Kluyveromyces lactis: one gene and its partner. Each later gene encodes a partner of the first gene's protein in a complex. Links are inferred from orthologs where the notes say so. Each region holds a gene or a part of one and is shown on either strand. Other genes may lie near its edges.

The links. The genes of interacting proteins can lie anywhere in the genome.
Region 2: NUP1 (region 1) and NUP2 share a complex: the UniProt entries of both Saccharomyces cerevisiae proteins name them as parts of the nuclear pore complex. The link is inferred for Kluyveromyces lactis from reciprocal best matches to the Saccharomyces cerevisiae genes NUP1 and NUP2.

What each region holds. Positions count from the first base shown.
Region 1 is NC_006039.1:1,143,737-1,155,560, forward strand, and holds NUP1 (FG-nucleoporin NUP1), read left to right. Parts: upstream 1-5,974; coding exon 5,975-8,698; downstream 8,699-11,824. Other genes in the region: PHO23 (Pho23p), read right to left, coding at 1-1,099; CRC1 (carnitine:acyl carnitine antiporter), read left to right, coding at 2,183-3,169; alpha-1,2-mannosyltransferase KTR1, read right to left, coding at 3,409-4,629; KLLA0_C13497g (uncharacterized protein), read left to right, coding at 9,181-9,660; RPS7A (40S ribosomal protein eS7), read right to left, coding at 9,989-10,417, 10,929-11,072. UniProt on the Saccharomyces cerevisiae protein: Functions as a component of the nuclear pore complex (NPC).
Region 2 is NC_006038.1:545,747-553,592, reverse strand, and holds NUP2 (nucleoporin NUP2), read left to right. Parts: upstream 1-5,333; coding exon 5,334-7,319; downstream 7,320-7,846. Other genes in the region: THG1 (tRNA guanylyltransferase), read right to left, coding at 1-684; KLLA0_B06215g (uncharacterized protein), read left to right, coding at 1,263-2,069; RPS25A (40S ribosomal protein eS25), read right to left, coding at 3,472-3,798; SGD1 (Sgd1p), read right to left, coding at 7,419-7,846. UniProt on the Saccharomyces cerevisiae protein: Functions as a component of the nuclear pore complex (NPC).

The sequences.
Region 1 (11,824 bases):
ACCATTCTAATTGACAGTTTTCGCCATCACATCCAACCATTTCTCCGTATGCGACCTGATTACAGTAACAATACAGTGCTTCTCCATATTCGTTGATCTTTGGTCTGTTTTGATACTTATTTGATGCGTTGACTGCATTTACAGCTGTCGTGTTACTCCCGGTAACGCCATTGTTAGCAGCCGTGGTGTTTACTCTTTTTTTGTTCCTTCTTTGTGCGGCAGTACTATTTGCAGAAGAGTTGTTATTGTTTGAACTAGATGTTGAGACAGTAGTTGTCCCGTTGTTATTTCTCCTTTTCTTAGTGTTCGCTGGTTGTATATCATCTGCATGAGAATGGCTATTGTCATTATGGTTGTGGTTATGCGCATTTCCGTTCTTATGACCTGCCATAGTGGAAGAGCGGTTGTGACCATTTGTTTGAGTGTTTGCTCCTTGGTTTGGAGCATTTCCATGTGATCCTACCGCCGCAACTACTGGTTCTGATCCTGCGACTGCTGTGGAGGCACCGGTTCCAGAAGTTGAAGTAGAACCAGCTGTGGATCCGACAGAACCTGAATTTGCCGTTCCAGCAGCGTTCCCACCTTGAACAGCAGTTCCCCCAGTTGTCTTCTTTGCAGCCATGGCTTCTCTACGGGATTCACTTTTCAGTGCTTGTTGAGACTTCGTCATTACATTTGATTCGACCTTAGCCATAAGCTCACGATGCAAATGCATCGCTGGATGGTTATCGTTACCTAGTCTTAACTTCTCTGGAATCTCTTGATTGGAAATAGCAACCTCGTAGGCTAATTCCAACCTGTCCGTTAACCTTTCTAAAGAATCGTAGGCTATAGATGAAACATGCATCTTCTCTTCCAATGACGGGATCAGCTCTTGAAACCATTGGTTTATCACACGTAGAGGAACCTTGGACTCATCAGGAACGTTTCTCCCACCAAGGAATCCTTTAATGCATTTATTTAGTTCAGGAATTATATTAACGCATTTAGCATCAATTTCATAGAGTAGAGTCATGTACCGTGAAACGTCTAATGGCACCTCTTCCAATACATCACTAATATCATTAAGACCAGGGTATAAATTTGCAGGTGCTGCCATATCTTGAGTTGTATTGTCTATGTCTCGCTATCGTGATATGTAGTACAGCTTGTGATTCCTACTGGATTGAGAGATCTTTTGAATCACACAAATGTCAATACACTACATACAACATGTAATTGTATTGCGTGCACTTATCCGGTATGCTAAACAATTCTAGTTACCTGACCTAAAAGAAAAGGTATAAATTTGATATTCAAAGCTTTTAATAAGACTAAGCGAGAACCTGAAGAAAAGAAAAATAGATCACGTGAAAATTATTATCACGTGATTGGTATTAAATAATCGTTTTGGATTCTAAGTAGGTTATACAATGGAAAGCTCGGGGTTTGTTTGATTACGATCATCCGTGAAACCCTGTCCGCAATCTTTTGTTTATGTTTTTTGTTTTCACTGTTGTCTCCTTCCACCTGTGTCACATTTGTCACTTCATTTCCCCCGCTCTAAATAGAAAAAAAAAAGGCGATTAGAATTTTGCTGACACTAAATCCTGTCGGCATCGGGTAAAATAAGGTAAAAAGGGAATATGTATCAGAAATAATGAATGGATCACGCAGGGAAACAGCCGCAGGGATCCCGTGCGAATTTGGAGATGTTCCAGCACATGACCTTGTACTTAAATTGTAGAGTATCTGTTCTTTCATTTGTTGTCATGCATTCAGGGCTGATTCTATTTCTAACGGCCAGTCACACAAAATGTTGTACTGATTCCTTGTATCAATCCTAGATTATCTCTACAAAGTCCGTTAACTTGAGAATTTTTTTGGTGATGACTATAATGATTCACCAAGAAAGTCACAATCCTGGACCAAAAGAAAATCCTGAATGTTTGATGATTATGATGATGATATGATGTTAATGATCAGCAATATCATGGCTAATTACTTTCATGAGGAAGAGAAACGTTTTTTTTTTTTTTCGTAGATATATAAATCACAGCCTTTCGGTGCAAACCTGAAGCATACACTTAGATAAGAAGAACATTCAGTACCGAGGTATATGAAATTGGTCTGATCAAAGTGCACCAAAGCTAACGTATATATATACAGTATCACTTCGACGAACACTATTGAAAAGGGAAAAATGAGTGACGCCTCCATTGAAATTGAATTGGAAACATCGCATGTTAATGATGTTTCCCAAACAAAGTCACAATTAACAGAAAATTTGAAGTCATTAGCTGCAGGCGGTGTTGGAGGTGTTTGTGCAGTGTTGACCGGACATCCTTTTGATTTGGTGAAAGTCAGATGTCAATCAAACCAAGCACGTAGTGCCATGGATGCAGTCTCACATATTCTACAAGCTGCACGTCAGGCAGCCGGTCCTACTTCTTTGAATGCAGTGCGTGGGTTTTATAAAGGTGTGGTCCCTCCATTATTGGGTGTTACTCCAATCTTTGCTGTGTCCTTCTGGGGTTATGACGTAGGTAAAAAATTGGTCACGAGTGTGCCCTCTTCGGCGGCTAGTGGTGCCGCAGCAGTGGAACCAGAATTGACATTGTCACAGATGGCAGCAGCAGGGTTCATCAGTGCAATTCCTACTACGTTAGTCACTGCACCCACTGAACGTGTTAAAGTTGTCTTACAAACTACTCAGGGTAAAGCTTCGTTTTTGGATGCTGCCAAACAGATAGTGCGCACACAGGGTTTCCAATCTCTATTCAAGGGTTCTCTAGCGACTTTATCCCGTGATGGGCCAGGAAGTGCGTTATACTTTGCCAGTTATGAGATTTGCAAGGAATATTTGAATAAGGCAAGCGGACATACCTCAGGAGAGTTGTCAATTACCAACGTTTGTATCAGTGGTGGTATGGCAGGTGTTTCTATGTGGGTAGTAGTGTTCCCCATTGATACTGTGAAGACACAATTACAATCATCTTCCAAGCGTCAATCGATGCTTGAAGTGACGCGCATGATCTACAACACAAGAGGTGGTATTAAAGGGTTCTTCCCTGGTGTTGGACCTGCCATTTTGAGATCATTCCCAGCTAATGCGGCCACTTTCTTGGGAGTGGAGTTGACCCATTCGTTGTTCAAGAAGTTCGAGCAACAAAAAACTAGTTCAATTTGAACTGGACCCCTCTATAATGATATTATTTATGCACTTCCGTTACGACAACTTCTTTTGAAAGAAATTATTTAATGAATATAATACAATAAAAAGCCTTCTGTTTGTTGTCTTGAGAGGAAGAAAAAGTCCGACTTGGATCCTTCACAGTCCTCCTATAAGACTAAAAAAGAAGAAAAGCGTTTCTTGTTACACGTATATTTTATGTATGGTTAGTGTTATATTTTTCTCCTCGTTTGAATTCATGTGAAGTTTTGCCAGCCCTCAGGTTTCTTCAAGTTTCTAACGTTGTAGAACTGTGGAGTACAGGAGTAAGATTTCCAAGTGAAATCATCACTTGGGGAGCAGACACATCTGTGATCCCTTCTGAATGCATCAGAAACTGGACAGGAATGGAATGGAACGTGGTAGTAACCGACGTCATTGAAATGATGGATTTGGTTCTTGTCCAAAAACAATGCAGCAGCAATAGAATGGACAGGGGCGTCACCCCATCTTTCGTAGAAGAACCCACCAGCATGATCCAAATGATCGAAGAACTTTGTGTAGGCTTCACTTCTCCATAGTTCTAGGGATGCGACTTCGAAGTTCGACCAGAAATGACACAAGTTATAAGAAGCACCGTTATCATCTGAGATGAACTTCATCATGTTGTTCTTGTGCAAATATTGTGGGTTTGCCTGGTTAAATTCGAAAACGGTCTTCCACAACGTTTCTATGGTAGCTTCGTATTCTCTCAAAGAGATGGTGAAACCGTACTTCTTATCGTTATCCTTCATGAATTTGAAAATGTCGTAATCGATATCACAGTAGATCTTAACACCTGGTTCAACACGCCAGTAGAACTCGTATTCATCCATCAATTTGTGTCTATAGAAGAATCCTGATTCATAACGACACATATGTCTGTATGATTCCGAATGACCATAGATAATCTTCTTGGCTTTCATATCAGCTCTGACTTGAGCAGCCTTTTCCTGGTCGATCCAGCTTGGATAGGACCAGTGTTCGACAGGGATTAGGCCAAACTTGACGTTACCACTAATCATAGAAGCAACTGTATTCTTGAAGTCATCTGTGAACTCTTCATCGTTCAAAAACACCCAATCGTATTGGAACTTCTTGTTGAATCTATCTTCAACAGACCTAATAGATGACAATAATTCTGTCAAATCACCGTTACGTGCCAAAGTCACAAAAGTTGCCTTAACCTTGGAGCCAGTGTACTTACCGGAATCGACGGTGGTGTACTTCAACCCTGTGTTTGGGTCTACAACAACACGGGAATCACCCTTCATGCGAACGGTCTCGTACTGATTTGCATTCTGCGAAGATGACACACCAGTGCTGTATCCACCATTGTATGAAGCACCTTGGAACAACAAATAGATGGTAATTGCAGCAACGATAATTATCCCAAGGAGACGCGCAGAACGCTCCTTATTGATTCTGGTCTCGCTCATGGCTTATTGAAAGATTACTGAACAGCTTTCTCCCAACCTATTTCCAATTGAAATAAAGAAAAATAGCGGATTTGTTAAGAAGAAATCAACAACGACCAATGTGGTTTCAGGATATTCACGTCAAACGATCAAATAACTTAGTAAAGCACCTAAGGAAACAAAAAACGATACCGAGTTGTTAAAGGTAAAATGCCTTCGTTTGTAATTTTTCAGTTTTCTTCAATTGAACAGTGGATATACGCTATTCTAATATCACATTTTTCTCGAGGCAACCCAGATTCGATCAGGGAATATTGAAAACTACAAAAAAAAAAAAAAAACTATATGATACCATTAGCAGAGCTCAGCCATAAAAATAGCACATTTATGACATTTATGACATTTATCGATCTCCCACTTCATGACTCGTAGTCGAAGGCATCGTGCGATGTTCCACTGCCCATTTTCTTCTAGTGTAATGATTCTTTTCTTTTCGGATTTAGACTTATGTGTTCGTTTCAGTCTTCTGTCCCTTCAAGGTGTTTTTTGGGATTTTCCTTGACCGATATGGCCTCTTCGTTTCGGAATCAAGCGGTCTGTTCTGTGGTGTCGAAGCCTCATAACCACATTCGGTGTTGCACTTTTTACTTGATTTCCTCCATGACGCGTTCTTCAAGGTTTCCCCAAACTAAAAAAAAAAAAACAAGATGGGACGAATGTATGACAGGATGGGGAGAAATCGGTCACGTGATAATCTGAATTTCACAAGAATAGAACACTTGTACTGTTAAGCATGGCATTGATGCACACTACGTTCTATCCTGTGCGTTCTTGCAGTTTAACGTTAAGTTTTTCTTTACTTATATATCAATTTGTTCTTTTCGATCCCTCATGTCACTTTCAGGCCTTATGTATAGAAAAATGAACAAAACTTGAGTTCTATATAAAACTTGAAAGCTAAAATAACGAAAAAGGGTACTTTTGTATTAAGTGGACGGCAAATCTTTAAACTTTCATAATGTAGAATCGTTATAATAAATTTTGGATAATAGTCGAGCCCCATATTGATGTTTTGGAACTAATGCAAATTTATGTCCATCTCCTAGCTAGACTCTCTTATACTGACGCCTTGGTTAGTTTAGGTCAATATGTGTCAAACCGTACAAAGTGATTATAACCCTGTAAGAGGAAAAAAATAACAGCTAGGAATGTTAGGACTTGAAATATCGAATTATCAAATATCGAATAATACCTTTATTAATACGCAAGAAAGTTACAGAAACAGCAGTTTCGAAAGAAATAGGAATCGAAAACTTGAATTGGACTCTGGTTCACTTGCCGCATATCACGGCCACTTTATAGAATAATGTCGGCATCATATCTGGAAAAACCCAAAAGATCGATTTCATCGACTTTGGCATCATTATTTACCAAGCATGACGATACGAATAGCGAAGATCCGAATATAACAAGGTCGCACAATGAAGATATCAGTGATTCAGGATCAGTGGTCATCAAGAGGCAAAAACGTGGCTTCGACGGTTACGAGGAATTGGTTTGGAATAACGAAAAAATCACCGATCACCCGTTAAATCACAATGGCATTGATGATATCAATTATGATGAAAGACCGAATATTTTCTTGTATGAAGGGGATTCTGAACATGGTGTAAGGCCTCCAGTACTAACGATAGAACCGAAACAAAGATTGCGGCTACTAAGGATGCAGCAACTGCGCCGTGCTCGGCAATTCCCACTTTTACAAAGACAATTACAATCAGCAGAGAACGGCCTATATCGCTTAACAGACGGCAAAAATGCTACTATAAAGAATTTACTCGTCAACAAACTACAAAGTGACAAGAAAAATCATAGGGTTTCCGATAACCCAAAGTCCAAGAAGTGGAAAGCTGATTTTCAATACGATTTATCAGAATATGATATCTTGAAAAACGACAAAAAGACGAAACCAGTATCTGCCTCAATGGGGAATTTGGAATCTCCTAAACTACCACATCCATTGCTAAAAAGGAGTACCTCTTCAAAGAAACATGTCAATACTTTTGATCAAACAGGAGTGCCTAGTGGATCTGGCTTAACTGATGTTCAAAGCAGGTTATTACAAGGAAAGACATTGCAAAAAAATCCAAAGATAGCACAAGAAGTAGTTGCACCAACACTATCATTGAAACCTATCGTCAAGGAAAAAATATCAGAAGATAAAGTTTTAAACGCTAACGGCCCAAGTGTTGGATTTGACTTTATGAATAGAGACAGTACTTCTATTTTCCCAGGTAGCACAGATACACCTACCAAACCAACAGTATCCAAAAATATATCTTTTGGAAATACCAAATTGGATTTATTCAACAATGATAAACAGAAATTAACGGCCCCTTCTCAGGATTCTGAAGAGTTACCAAGAAAAAAGAAAGAATTTAGTTCTACTGAGGACACTGTTAAACCATTTCCCTTCACAAGTTCTAAGTCGCTGGAAACATCAACTGAACCATCGAAACCTGCTTTTTCTTTTGATGCGGTAAAAAAAAACAACACAGCTACAGCCAATGGAGGCACAAAAATCTCAGATGGTGCTCCTTCTTTCACCTTTGGTGATTTATCAAAAACCAAGAAAGAGACCAAAAAAGCTGAAACATCCAAAAACCCCTTTGAGAAATCCGCCCCCGAACCTGTTGAAAATCTGGCTAAAGACGGCCTCCCTAAGTTCAGCTTCACTGGTGCGGATACAACTGGGATATCAAATATACCTACATTTAGTTTTGGAAAATCTTCAGAAGGCAAAGAGATAGCTAAACCCGCCCCTTCATTCAGTTTTGGCAGCCAAAAAGATGCAGGCGAACCAACTAATGTCAGTGAAATGTCAAAACCTATGTTTAGCTTCAACAAAGGAAAATCATCTACTCCAGATCTGACCCCATTGAGTACCTCTCAATCAACTAATACACCTAAACCACTATTTCAGTTTGGTTCCAGTGGTAGTACTGAACCTGCCGCAAAGAGACCAGATGGTACAAAAACTGAAGCACCAGTGCTGCCATCATTCAGCTTTGGTGGTAAACCTGTAGGAAATGATTCGTCAAAAAATATTGAGAAGGAAAAAGCTAAACCTTTCAGTTTTGGGCAAGCTTCGAATACATCAGCATTTTCTCTCAACCAACAGCCTTCAGCAGACAACGCGACAGAGAAGCAGGAAGCCAAAAATGCCGTCAGTACTGCTGTAAAACCTGCATTCTCCTTTGGTAGCACCCCAGCAGCCCTACCTTCTGATACAACCCCAAAAGAAGCTGCTGCACCATCATTTTCGTTCGGGACCACAAAGAAACCTGTTCAAGGTGATATGAGTTCGAAACCTGCATTCTCTTTTGGAAGTTCCTCTGCCATCCAGCAGCCCTCAATTGAAAAAGCTTCCAATGCAATTCCTTCGTTTGCAAGTCAGAACACCAGTGGCCAGCCTGTCAGCGGACTCAAATTTGATTTGACAGGGTTTAAAAATAATAATAGACAAACTACTCCGACTCCGTTTTCAGATTCATCAAATGTTGGATCTGCTCGTGGAAGCAACCCTCCTGTCCCATTCTCATTTGATAATGTCGTTCAACCTGGGAATAAGATAAGTGTAACGCAGCCTACTCAAACTACATTTACTTTTGCACAACAAAATCAAAAACCATTTACTTTTACTGGAAGTGGGCCAAGCACTACCAACAGTTCACCTGCATTTGGAACCAGTTCCAATCAGCCTAATGTACCTTTTTCATTCGGCGGAAGCTCAGCTTCTTCCACTCCCCAGGTACCAGCATTGGGTACCGGTTTCGGTAATTCTATGCAGACAAACACATTTAATCCTTCAGCCGCTGCCAATTTTAATTTTGGTGGTCAACCATCTCAAAGTCCTTCTGTAGTATTTGGATCCCAAACCCCGCAACAGAATCCATCGTCCATATTTTCCGCTGGTCAGCAGAATCCAGCGGACATATTCAATGCGCAGGCTTCAACTCCTCAAGGAGGGGCACCATTTCCACCGCAGCGCAAAATTGCTATGCCCGGTAGGAGAAGAAGAAGAGGCTAATAAAGGAAAACAAAGGCTTTGCATCTCAATTGTAACAATTATTGCATGATATCATTCCTTCCGACATCTTTACATTTATGTGTAAGAATGTATCTACTAATGTCATCTTAAAGTTTAGGTAAAAAATTTTGTTTCGAGAGAGTACTCGAATGGAGCTTCGTTAACGGATGAGATGCTCGTAAAATCTTTAAGTGGAACTACATCAACTTATAAATCAAGTCTAACATACTCAATAGCAAGAAATTGAGTGATTTCGCTTGTGGTATCCAAATTGAACCGGCTATTACTTGAAACATAGGCATTTCTGGAAAGTATTGATCAAATTTAGTTACATTGAAACTGCTATGCGTAGCGCAGTTCATGACAGCTTTGCAGGAATTCAATTGAATTATGAGTCACGTGAATATTCGTTTCGCCTAGTCAACTTCATAATACCGTAATGTTGTGAAAATCAACAAAAGCGCATTCTTTAAATATGTAACATGAAAGTGTCAATCACTAAATTAATATCTTCCAGTAAAGTAAAAAACTCCATAACCATGGACATTTCAGAACAAATACTGCCACGCCTTACCCACTTACAAAAATGTGTTCACTCGAAACCTTATAATGTACTTCACGTCCCTTCATTCCTCTTAGGGTGCTTTGTGGTAATTATGATCTCTTCTTTACAACCTTTATTCAGATCAATACTAGGAAGTGTACTGATAGGTGTTTTACGAATAATTAAGTATTCAGTTATTGGCGGTGGTGTAGGTTTGATAATAATGGTTTTAACTTCAGATCAAAGTAAACAACCTACTAAAGCTCGACAAAGTAAGCATCATGAAGGTGATTTTCAACCAATAGGAATAAATACCTTGCAAACTAAGGTTAATAAACACAGCCGTCCCACCCAGGCTCCAGAACCTGTTACTGTAACGAGTGCAGCTTACGAAACTTTTATTAAAAGGGCCGAATGATTTCTCCTATATACATCTACCCACACATTACGACCAATTGACACTAATGGGTGTGGTTGGTTGGTTGGTTTTGATCCTAATCAATGGTGGTTTCTAGCTATATTTACGCCGTAATGAAACATGTACTTTAGTGATCTTGTAGAGAATGATATAATATGTGCCAAGAGCTTATATTTGTTTATATAAGATTATCATTTCAAGCTCAAATGAGTAGAACTCACACTAGAATACAATAGAAACAGTACCAGAAGTACGAGTTTATGAAAATAAAACTTAAATTTCTTTTAGATTAATAGATGATTATTGACAAAATAAACTATCAACTGATTTAGTGGGTTTCGCTTGGGATTTCGAAAACAATTTGCTTACCGGTCAATTTGTTGTAGACGGCTTGGAAAGATTCCAACTTGTTGTCGATGTGTTGGACGTCCTTGGAGTTCAACAAGATCTTTTGGATCTTGTTACCACCAACCAAGTATCTGACTCTCTTACCAACGATTTCAGTTGGGAAAACCAAATCTTCCAAGATCTTATCGTGAACAGCAGTCAAGGTTCTGGATCTTGGTCTCTTTTGAGTTTGTCTGGATTTTCTAGATGGCTTTGGCAAGATTCTTCTTTCAGCCAAGAAGATGACATGACGGTCTTGGAACTTCTTTTCCAATTCTCTGGTCAACTTGATTTGGACCTTGTGGTAGGCAGCCAAAGATGGGACTGGAACAAAGACAGCCAAAGCTTTCTTACCACCAGCGACTTCGATCTGTAATGAAAATACGGAGGATAAATTGTTAGTAAAAATAAGACTTTATTATTATCACAGGGTACTAGAGGCACGAATGATTGGATTATAAAATGCAATAATGCAATATAATCACATCATTAAGGAATTGACTTGTTTTATGGATATCACTTTTGTCGTGCATGATTTCGAAAATTTAGTAATAACTGTGACATTTCGTAGAGAACTTATCTGTCGATATTCTTTCTTAGCAAGCATCAGATGGGTACAGAGATACTAGGCATACCTCACTTCAAAGCTTTAGTCATGCAGATTGCTTAATATATTAACAGATGTAATATTTTGTTCGTTAGATCATTTTCTTACATTATCTTTGTTATTTCCTCACTCCTGGAAACATATATTCATTCATTCATCTTATGTTTATTAACATTTCAGTTATCGTAAACGTATAGGTAATCCAATATTCAATCATTCCTTTTGCCTTTGAAAGTAGTACCACTTTCTTATAGTGTTTTAATGTTTCACATACTTCTCTGATGGACTTGAATTGCAAAGCTCTCAAATCAGCCTTCAATTCTGGAGAGTTGTTTTCCAAGTCGATGAAAGCTTGGGCAACTTGCAATTCCAATTCAGTTGGAGCTTGGGACAAAATCTTGGCTTGTGGGTCAGACATCGTGGCTTATGTTTCCTTGCTTGGTTATATCAAGAACTCCTCTAATGGAAAAAAATCGCTAAAACAGTGCTGCAACTAATATTCAACTAACGCTAATTTATTGTATATAACTATTAGACCTCATTTCAATTGTTTAAACAGTAAACCTTCAATTCTGAAAAAGTTGCTGAGACTGGGATGCATTACGATGAATGAAACCTACTACTGGCCTGGTCTGGATAGCTCGTAGAATTTGCCGGTCCATACTTCCACACAGTAGGTAGAGAGAGTAGCGAGCCTAGACAGTCGACACGGCCTAGCTGGGTTCCTTCCTACACCCGGAACAGGACCAAACGGTAGGTGGAAAGGTCCATTGGAGGCCCTGCCTAACCTGTTAGGGTCTCTCAGACCTGACTGGTGATCGAAAGACATGCCGTGGCTACGATGGAAGGACACTTCGTTACGAATGTGGGAAGCGGTGGCTATTCTCAAAATGAAAAATACAACGCCATAATACCTAAAAAGGGAGGGTGAATATATCTAGAAAAATGAAAGACTTTCGTGGTGTACAGATGCAAAGACGGTAAAAATATGTATGGATGTAACAGTCCCAGGTTATTACTTCTCCAGGTGTTTTTTTTGTGAGAAAGAGATGAAAGAGAAAGCATCAAGCAGTTACCATCCCAAAGAGTCACGTTTTTATGACATAGTAGTGTATGTTTTAAGCATTTATGAACAACGAACGTCCTTTAGCACAAGAAAAAATTACCCGG
Region 2 (7,846 bases), on another chromosome or scaffold:
TTTCACCACATCGATGTGCACTATTTCACCTTTAGAGTTTACTAAGGAACCCTTCTTATACATCTCTGGTTCGTTATTATAGTTAATCCCACATTCTGAGAACAAAATTTCCTGCTTATCACTGGACAACGTTCCACAAAGCTTTTGTTCTGATTCTTGAGGTGTTAGACCGCACTTTATGATCAAGTACCAGAAGACTGTATTGTACAAGTTATTGATATGTGTATCAACAAATCTCCACGAAAGATAATCTTTTACCACAGTGAGGTTTGGATAACAAACACAACGGGAATCAAAGTATGGCAAATGTTTATGATGTAGGACGACATCGGGGAAAAATAGGTTCCAAAGAGAGACATAATTAGCTGTGAACAACGATACGAACAGGGTACTGATCTTATCACGTCTTCTATTAAAAAGTTTTGTATCTCTCTTCAAAATGAATGAGTATTCATCGCTTTCACCATACGCACAAATCATTTCTTGTTTATACTGCATGAACACATTTTTAGCAGCAGCGTTCATTAGTTTCAATGCCCTCTCATCATTTGGTTTAGCGAAATTATAGTATTTTGAGAATTCATGGAATTTCTTCCCATCAACTCTTACCACTATGTATGTATCCGGAAGCAACGCATCATGCACTTCAAATTGCCTTACGTATTCAAATCTTGACTTTGCCATCTATAGATCAAATAGCGTCCTGACACAGATTAGTGCTTTCTTAAGTGTTTCACTATTCTCAACCGAGATGAAGTGAGTAAGAGAAACTGAAATGTCCAACTGCTCAAATCATAAAAGATCCTAAGTTTGAATCAAACGAGGAAAAATCGCGTGCTACAGATATTCAAAAGTCTATTAAAACTAAGTACAAACAAGATCCATTTGATCAAATACTAATATCCCTCACTCAAGACTTACAGCAACTATCTATGTATTATTTTATTTACATCTTGTGAAGTTTACCCAGCTTTTAATACCGATGAGATGACATGAAATAAGCTGCGAACATTATTTTCGCTTTCGCCTCGATCTAATGCAAAGAAAGGTTTTAAAAAATTGCTTTGTTGAAAATACACACGGAACAATCAAATATTATAAGGGTTTAAAAACTTGGAAGATGGATAGCTTGTTTCCAGACCTGCTGAAGCTCTTCCGTTTATTGCAATTGCCATTTATTTATCTGAGCAAATAGTTTGCAATACTTTTGTTTGGAAATTGTTGGTACTAGCTGTTTTATTCACGGAAATAAAAGAGACACAATGAAAGTTATCCGTAAGAAGGATTCCAAGGTTGATATCAAAGCCAAGCAAAGGGCAATTTGGATTGTTGGTCATTATTTGACTCTAGTTTTAGGAGCATTATATGTTTTGTATGCTTTCAAACACAATTTAACTGTTTACAAGAGAAGATCATGGAAGACTCTGTTTTTGTTAGCAAAGCGTAACGTTCACAAGGTCACCTGGAAGAATAGCACTTGGAGCCAATATTTGATCAGTTGGTACCCAAATTTATGCTATCAAGGGTCATTGCTCGGTGTTTTCATGTCTTATGGTGTTACTGACTATCAAAAATGGTCTAATACTTCACCCTCATTTTATGACTTGTTAAGCTCAGAGAATTCCCAAGGCATTATGATGGCTAGCCTTTGGATGGTCAGTAGAAGATCATCGTTCAAACTATTCCCATTGATGATTGTGAGTTATTTACATATTTCGAAGAAGGACGAGGTTAAAAATACCGAAATTTCTGAGATCACTTTGAAGAACGCCAAGCTTTTACATTTGATGGCATATTCTGAATTGATTGTTATTTTAACTTTAGCAGTCAACACATTGCTTTTCAAGGAAGCGATTTCAGGGTTTGTTCTACTATTCACAATTGCTATCTTCTGGTTGAGATTAAACTTCTCTCCTTACACGCAAGCAACTTTATTGAAATTGTTGTTAAAAGTTGACAAGAAGGTTCCTGAAAGTCAGAAAGAGAAATGGAATTTCATTAAGGGCTTCCTATACAACAGAATGAAGGAAAGAGAACAGGCTTTACAGAGATTCAAAATTGATACATGAATTGGAAGAAAAGAAGCTCAATTTAACGTTTCAAGTATACCATTCTTTTCAACATTCATTTGTGTGAGCCTTTCTATATTTCAAGTATAAGACGTTTTTATTAATAAACGTTAGTGTATAAGTGAATAAAACAAGCAAAAGTTGTATGCTTAACTTAAACACAATTAAGATTATAATATTAGATATTCTTACTCCAGACTTCATGCTTATTTCAGATTTATTGAGCTTGGTAAATTAGTTATCTTCCTGTAATTTTTGGTTCAGAAGCAGAACTGATAATTTAGGATTCATCACAATAAGCAATTCAATCAGAAGTAGAAGTAATTGAATTCAAGAAATGGAGTCAGTTATGATTAGGTAGTATCTCAACCAACAAAAACGTAGAAATGATAATCAAATTCAATTTTTTTGTTATTTTTCTTTGGTTTGCATTGCAGGAAGTTAGACATAGAATCTAACTTCAGTATACGTATCAGATGGTGATGCATGATGTTATCCAGGCACATATTTCCGAAGAAATCATCGCCGGATCTTAAAAAGCTGTGGAAAGCGTTCATCAAGTACACAAACCTTGAAAACCCCAGTTAAATTTGATTTGTTCACCTTTAATTTTTGTTGGTCCCTATGAGCTCATAGGAAACAAATGACATCCAAGTATGCCCTGTATTATAAATACCGGCTGCTATGGACAATGACTCGGGAGAGGGACAATATTGTTTGCGTTGAAAACATCGCATGCTAGATTTAATCAAAACTGTAACTGGAAAACAAAACGATCCTGATCATAAACGAAGAATTCCTAAATAACAATATGTCCTGCATATACTTCCTCAGTTATAAATATTTTGTTTTTATAATCATTTAGAATCGGTAGTGGTTTTCCATAACAGTTGGTTAAGTCAGCATGTGTTGCATTTTAGAGCTGAAAACTCTTTCTCAAATACAATATACATTATTGTACCCCAATTCTGGTCTCAGAATTTAAAACCTTCGATGTCATATTCACTGCAGAGTATGAGTAACACTGGCATATTAGCCGAGGAAAGGCATTAAAACTAATAGCAAAAGAGGATACAGCAGTAATATTTTATTAAACATTCACCATCTTTGAAGTGGTCCTGTTATATATGATATTTTTTTGATTTTCGTCTTTAACCATATTAAAATTTTCACAAAACAGAAATTAACAAGTAGAAAATGACAGGAAATCAGTCCAGTTAGCACTGTTAGGGCTGACTTTGAAGACGGAAAGAAGTCTAAGGTAACTTGTGCTATGTCTACCAAAAGCATGCCTCATCAATATGTAACGAAATAATCTGATAGTATTGGACTTTAAATCGAGAAAATATTTGCCGTAGTTACAAAAGTTATATATGAATAGAGTATATGACTTTTATTGCATTTATTCAGAAGCGGTAGCTCTGGTGTAGATGGCTTGCTTGGAGTGCTTGGAAACTGGCTTGATGATGCCTTCGTTTTCCAAGTGTCTCAAAGCAACTCTGGCCAAGGAACCACCCAACTTGAATCTGTCAACCAACACAGAGACGGAAACGTATCTGTAGGTTGGAGCTTCCTTCATAATTCTGTCGAATTTATCTTGGTCCAAGACAACAGCGTGCTTAGCCTTGTCCTTGTGGGACTTCTTAGACCACTTCTTCTTGGACTTCTTACCACCAGCCATGGCAGCGGCGGCCTTAGCGGCTTTGGACAATTGTTGTTTTGGAGGCATATTTCTGCGGAAAAGGGAACGTTAAGTTCGGTATTGTTAGTAAAAAATTGATTCTTTATGAAGAGGGGTGTAGTGAGAAGTAGCACATCACTTAGTAAATTTGTCGCAAGTCCGACTAATGACGAGAGAATTTTTCTGATAGATAGCTTGTCAATTTGAATGAATCCTTACTTTCCAGCAAATTCACCCAAATTATAGAATCTGGTTTCCTAAGAAATATTTGCTGGCAGTTCCATTGGGCTATATCACCAAATAACAAAAAGCTGCATTATTCAGTACACTTTTAATCCTGATGCCATAGTACGATGATCAATACAATGTTGGAGAGAAAATTATCAATCCGTCCACAAAATATCTCTGGTAAATGTTGTTTCAGTATAACTGGTGTTGTTTCATTTGTCATCACTATCAATAAATTAACATTAGAACCTCTTCCTGATTCATATATCTATCTTATTCTTGTATAATCCTCGATATCAGACCTCGTGCTGGTTTTATTTTGTTATCTCTTTCATCGTAATCCCAAAAGTGCTATTCCAAATAAGTAACCACTGCTAGTACACGGCACATACGTTCAAATTCCCTTAGCTGGTTTCTTCTTGAATGAACTCAAAAGTAAATAACCCTATAATAATCAAGGTGCTACTTTAAACAACTTGTTAATATCTCTAAGTTGCAATTCAATGTAAATCAAAAAATGAATATTCAATCCGAAGTGAGTTTGTCCAGGACGCAAAGTATTCCTCTTCCTACCGGAGAAGCAGAGAAAGTGAAGCAGGATAACGAGGATTGCGACAAATGGACTCATTTTGGAAAGGAGATAATTTCCTCTTTAGGAAGGAAATAACGCATGAGAAAATATACAAAGTTCAACTTTCGGATATATAACGTGGTGTCTGGATCCAACAAAACAGTCCCGTAATACAACATTAAAAATAAGAGCGCTATAAAACAGATGTTTCATCTGATAGATTAGCAAGTTTTACACCAACAAGTCCTACATGGTGTTACGGCCATCGTACTTGCCACCTGCGTCAACTAATGAGGTAAGAAATCATTGCACGTGTGTCGGTTATAACGGTGGCTATTGCAAATAATCCCTGAAAGCATAACAACGTTTTATATTCCGATATAGTGTAACGGCTATCACACCACGCTCTCACCGTGGAGACCCGGGTTCGACTCCCGGTATCGGAGGAGAAAGCGATTCGAAAGTTTCGCTAAATACTTTTTACATTTTTACTCCCCTGAGCAACCCATCACAAGCAGAATAACATGTAGTCACGTGTTCAGCATAAGTCATCCCACACGAGTCAACAGTATATTGAAGGATTTAGAATTTCGAGCTGCTTTATTATTATTTCTGGTGTTAGTATCATCAATTCTCATGTTGATGTCTGAATGCTTACACATCAGCAATCCTTAAACTCCTTTTCTGCTACTTCCGGTTGCTTCCCGTTAGTTCAATTCGTTTCTGATTAAGAAAGTGACTTCTCTTGAGCTGATCTTTCCAAGCACAATACTCACTGTAGGATATGTCAAAGAGATTTGCGGGTTCTCAGATGACCAGAGAAGGTCTTGAGAACGGACATAGTAATAATGTTTCAGATGACGAGACTCCATTTGATAAACCTGCCGTTGCCAGCGAATCTGTAATGAGTACCAGAAAAATTGCAATGCCAAAGAGGAAAATGGGAGGATTTACTGCGGGTGATAAACCTAACATGTTCAAAGTGATAAAGGATGACAAGAAACCTCAAGGCACTGACTTAAACGAAAAACTCACGGCATTGAACGTGCAATTCAAAAATAAAATAAATTCTACATTGGAATCAGATCCAGTTGCTGATATTTCTTTCCTGTTCGATAAATACAAGACCTATTCGCAACAGTTAAGGTCAGAAGCGAAAACTAATGGCGCTGCAAACGCTCCTCCAACTAGCTCATTCACATTTGGTACCACATCAGCAAATGTGGAGAAACCTAAAAATCCATTTGCATTCGCAAAGCCTAGCGCAGCACCATCATTTGCTCTACCTTCGGAGGTGACTAAACCGACAACGACCGTAACGGAAGAGAGACTGCAAGATAAAAAAGAACAAATTGAGATTAACAGCGATAGTGATTCTGAAGAGGAAAAACCAGCCGTTAATGTTGAAGGCCCAAAGTTTGTCTTGGCTAAGAAACCAACGACGTCTGATCCGCCTTTCAGCTTCGGTGGGAATAAGCGTAAGGAACCTGACAGCGATAGCGACAGCGAGATAGAGATCAAGGGACCCCAATTTACGTTTAATGGGACTGTATCGTCCAGTGCCTTTACTTTACCAAAGAATGATGCTTCAAGGACAGAGGAATCTGAACCAGCTGAAAAACCAACGGATAACAAGCCAGCTAGTATATTTGGGAACTCTTCACAATCTAAACCAACATTCCCTCCTTCTGCGTCCGCACCATCCATAGAGAAAAATGAGGGAAGCAAACCAGCTCTTCCTGCCTTTGGGTCAAATAAGGCTGATAATGGTAATTCATCATCTCCGTTCTCATTTTCTTTCAGCAACAATAAAGATTTGGCCAAAGAAAGTGAAAATAAAAAGGAAGAAGCAAAGCCAGCTAGCACCTTCGGTACATTCTCTGCCCCTGCTCCATCGGCGGACTCTAAACCATCGTTTAGCTTCTCTGCTCCAGTGCAAAGGACAGCAACTGAAAACAAAGATTCATCAAAGCCTTCCTTTACATTTGGAGCTATGGGCAAGGAAAACAGTAATGATGAAGCTAAAAAGCCTTCTTTCACATTCGGTACCTCAACAACCTCTGAAAAACCGGCTGAGTCATCTAAACCTTCATTTACATTTGGTAAAGCTTCAACAGGCTCCACTCCTTTCACTTTTGGAAAACAGGAGACCGACAAAAAAGATGAGAAAAAACCTACGTTTACGTTTGGGGCAACAGCAGCATCAACTGTACCAGCATTCAGTTTTGGTGCCAACAAATCTGAAGAGGCGCCTCCACAAGGTGAATCATCTGGCTTCAAGATCTCTTTACCCTTTGCCTCATCTGCTCCAACATCTGATAAGGATACTGCCAAGGAAGTTAGTGAAAAAAACAGCGAAGACGCATCTGCTGAGGCACAAGAAGAGCCATCTAAAACTTTGAATCTATCGAACGGTGAGGAGAATGAGAATCTACTCTTTTCGCAACGCGCCAAGCTAATGATTTTCAATACTGAGACGAAAGCCTATGATTCCCGTGGTGTAGGTGAATTGAAGGTTTTGCAAAACAAGGAAGACAATACAAAAGCAAGAATACTTTGTAGGTCAGACGGTATGGGTCATATTTTGCTAAATACTAGTATTATAAAGTCATTTTCCTATGAAGCATTAGATCCAAATAATGAGAATTTGGTTAAGTGTCCTGCAATTAAAGCGGAAGGAGGGTTAGACACATACGTCGTAAAAGTGAAACAAAAGGCTGATGGTAGAAAATTAGTACAAGCGATCAAGGATGCTCAATCACCGATGTAAAATTAAGTACATTTAACTGTTAATTAATAGAACTATTTGAACTTAGTTCATATATGCATGTGTAACTATTAAAATGGCAAAAAAAAGTACTTAAAATAGTCAATCTTCAGCACCTTTGAGCTCCTCTTCTATCAGTTTTTTGAAAGATGCAACTGCCCAAGACAGTCTTCTACTTTCTCTATCATGTTCTTTTGAGCCTTTCATACCTGAAATATACTTGATATAATCAAAATGCTTAGATATAAACCATCTTAGCGCTTTTAAAATAACATTCTTATTCTGAATGTTAATACCTTTCTCGATCAAAGAAGACAAACCATCAGAGTTATACTCAAATGTTTTCTTTCCATCTCGTTTGATCTTTATTTCGGCTGCCTTACCTTCGGAAAGGAACAACTGGAAAAGCAAAATATCAAAGAAGATTATTCCATCTGAGTTGAGTCCTGCCATTAACGGAACATGCTTGAAAGCATCAAGTTTCAAGTGACCTTCTGCTATTAAATGGCCAAAGAATCGGCCTTGCTTAG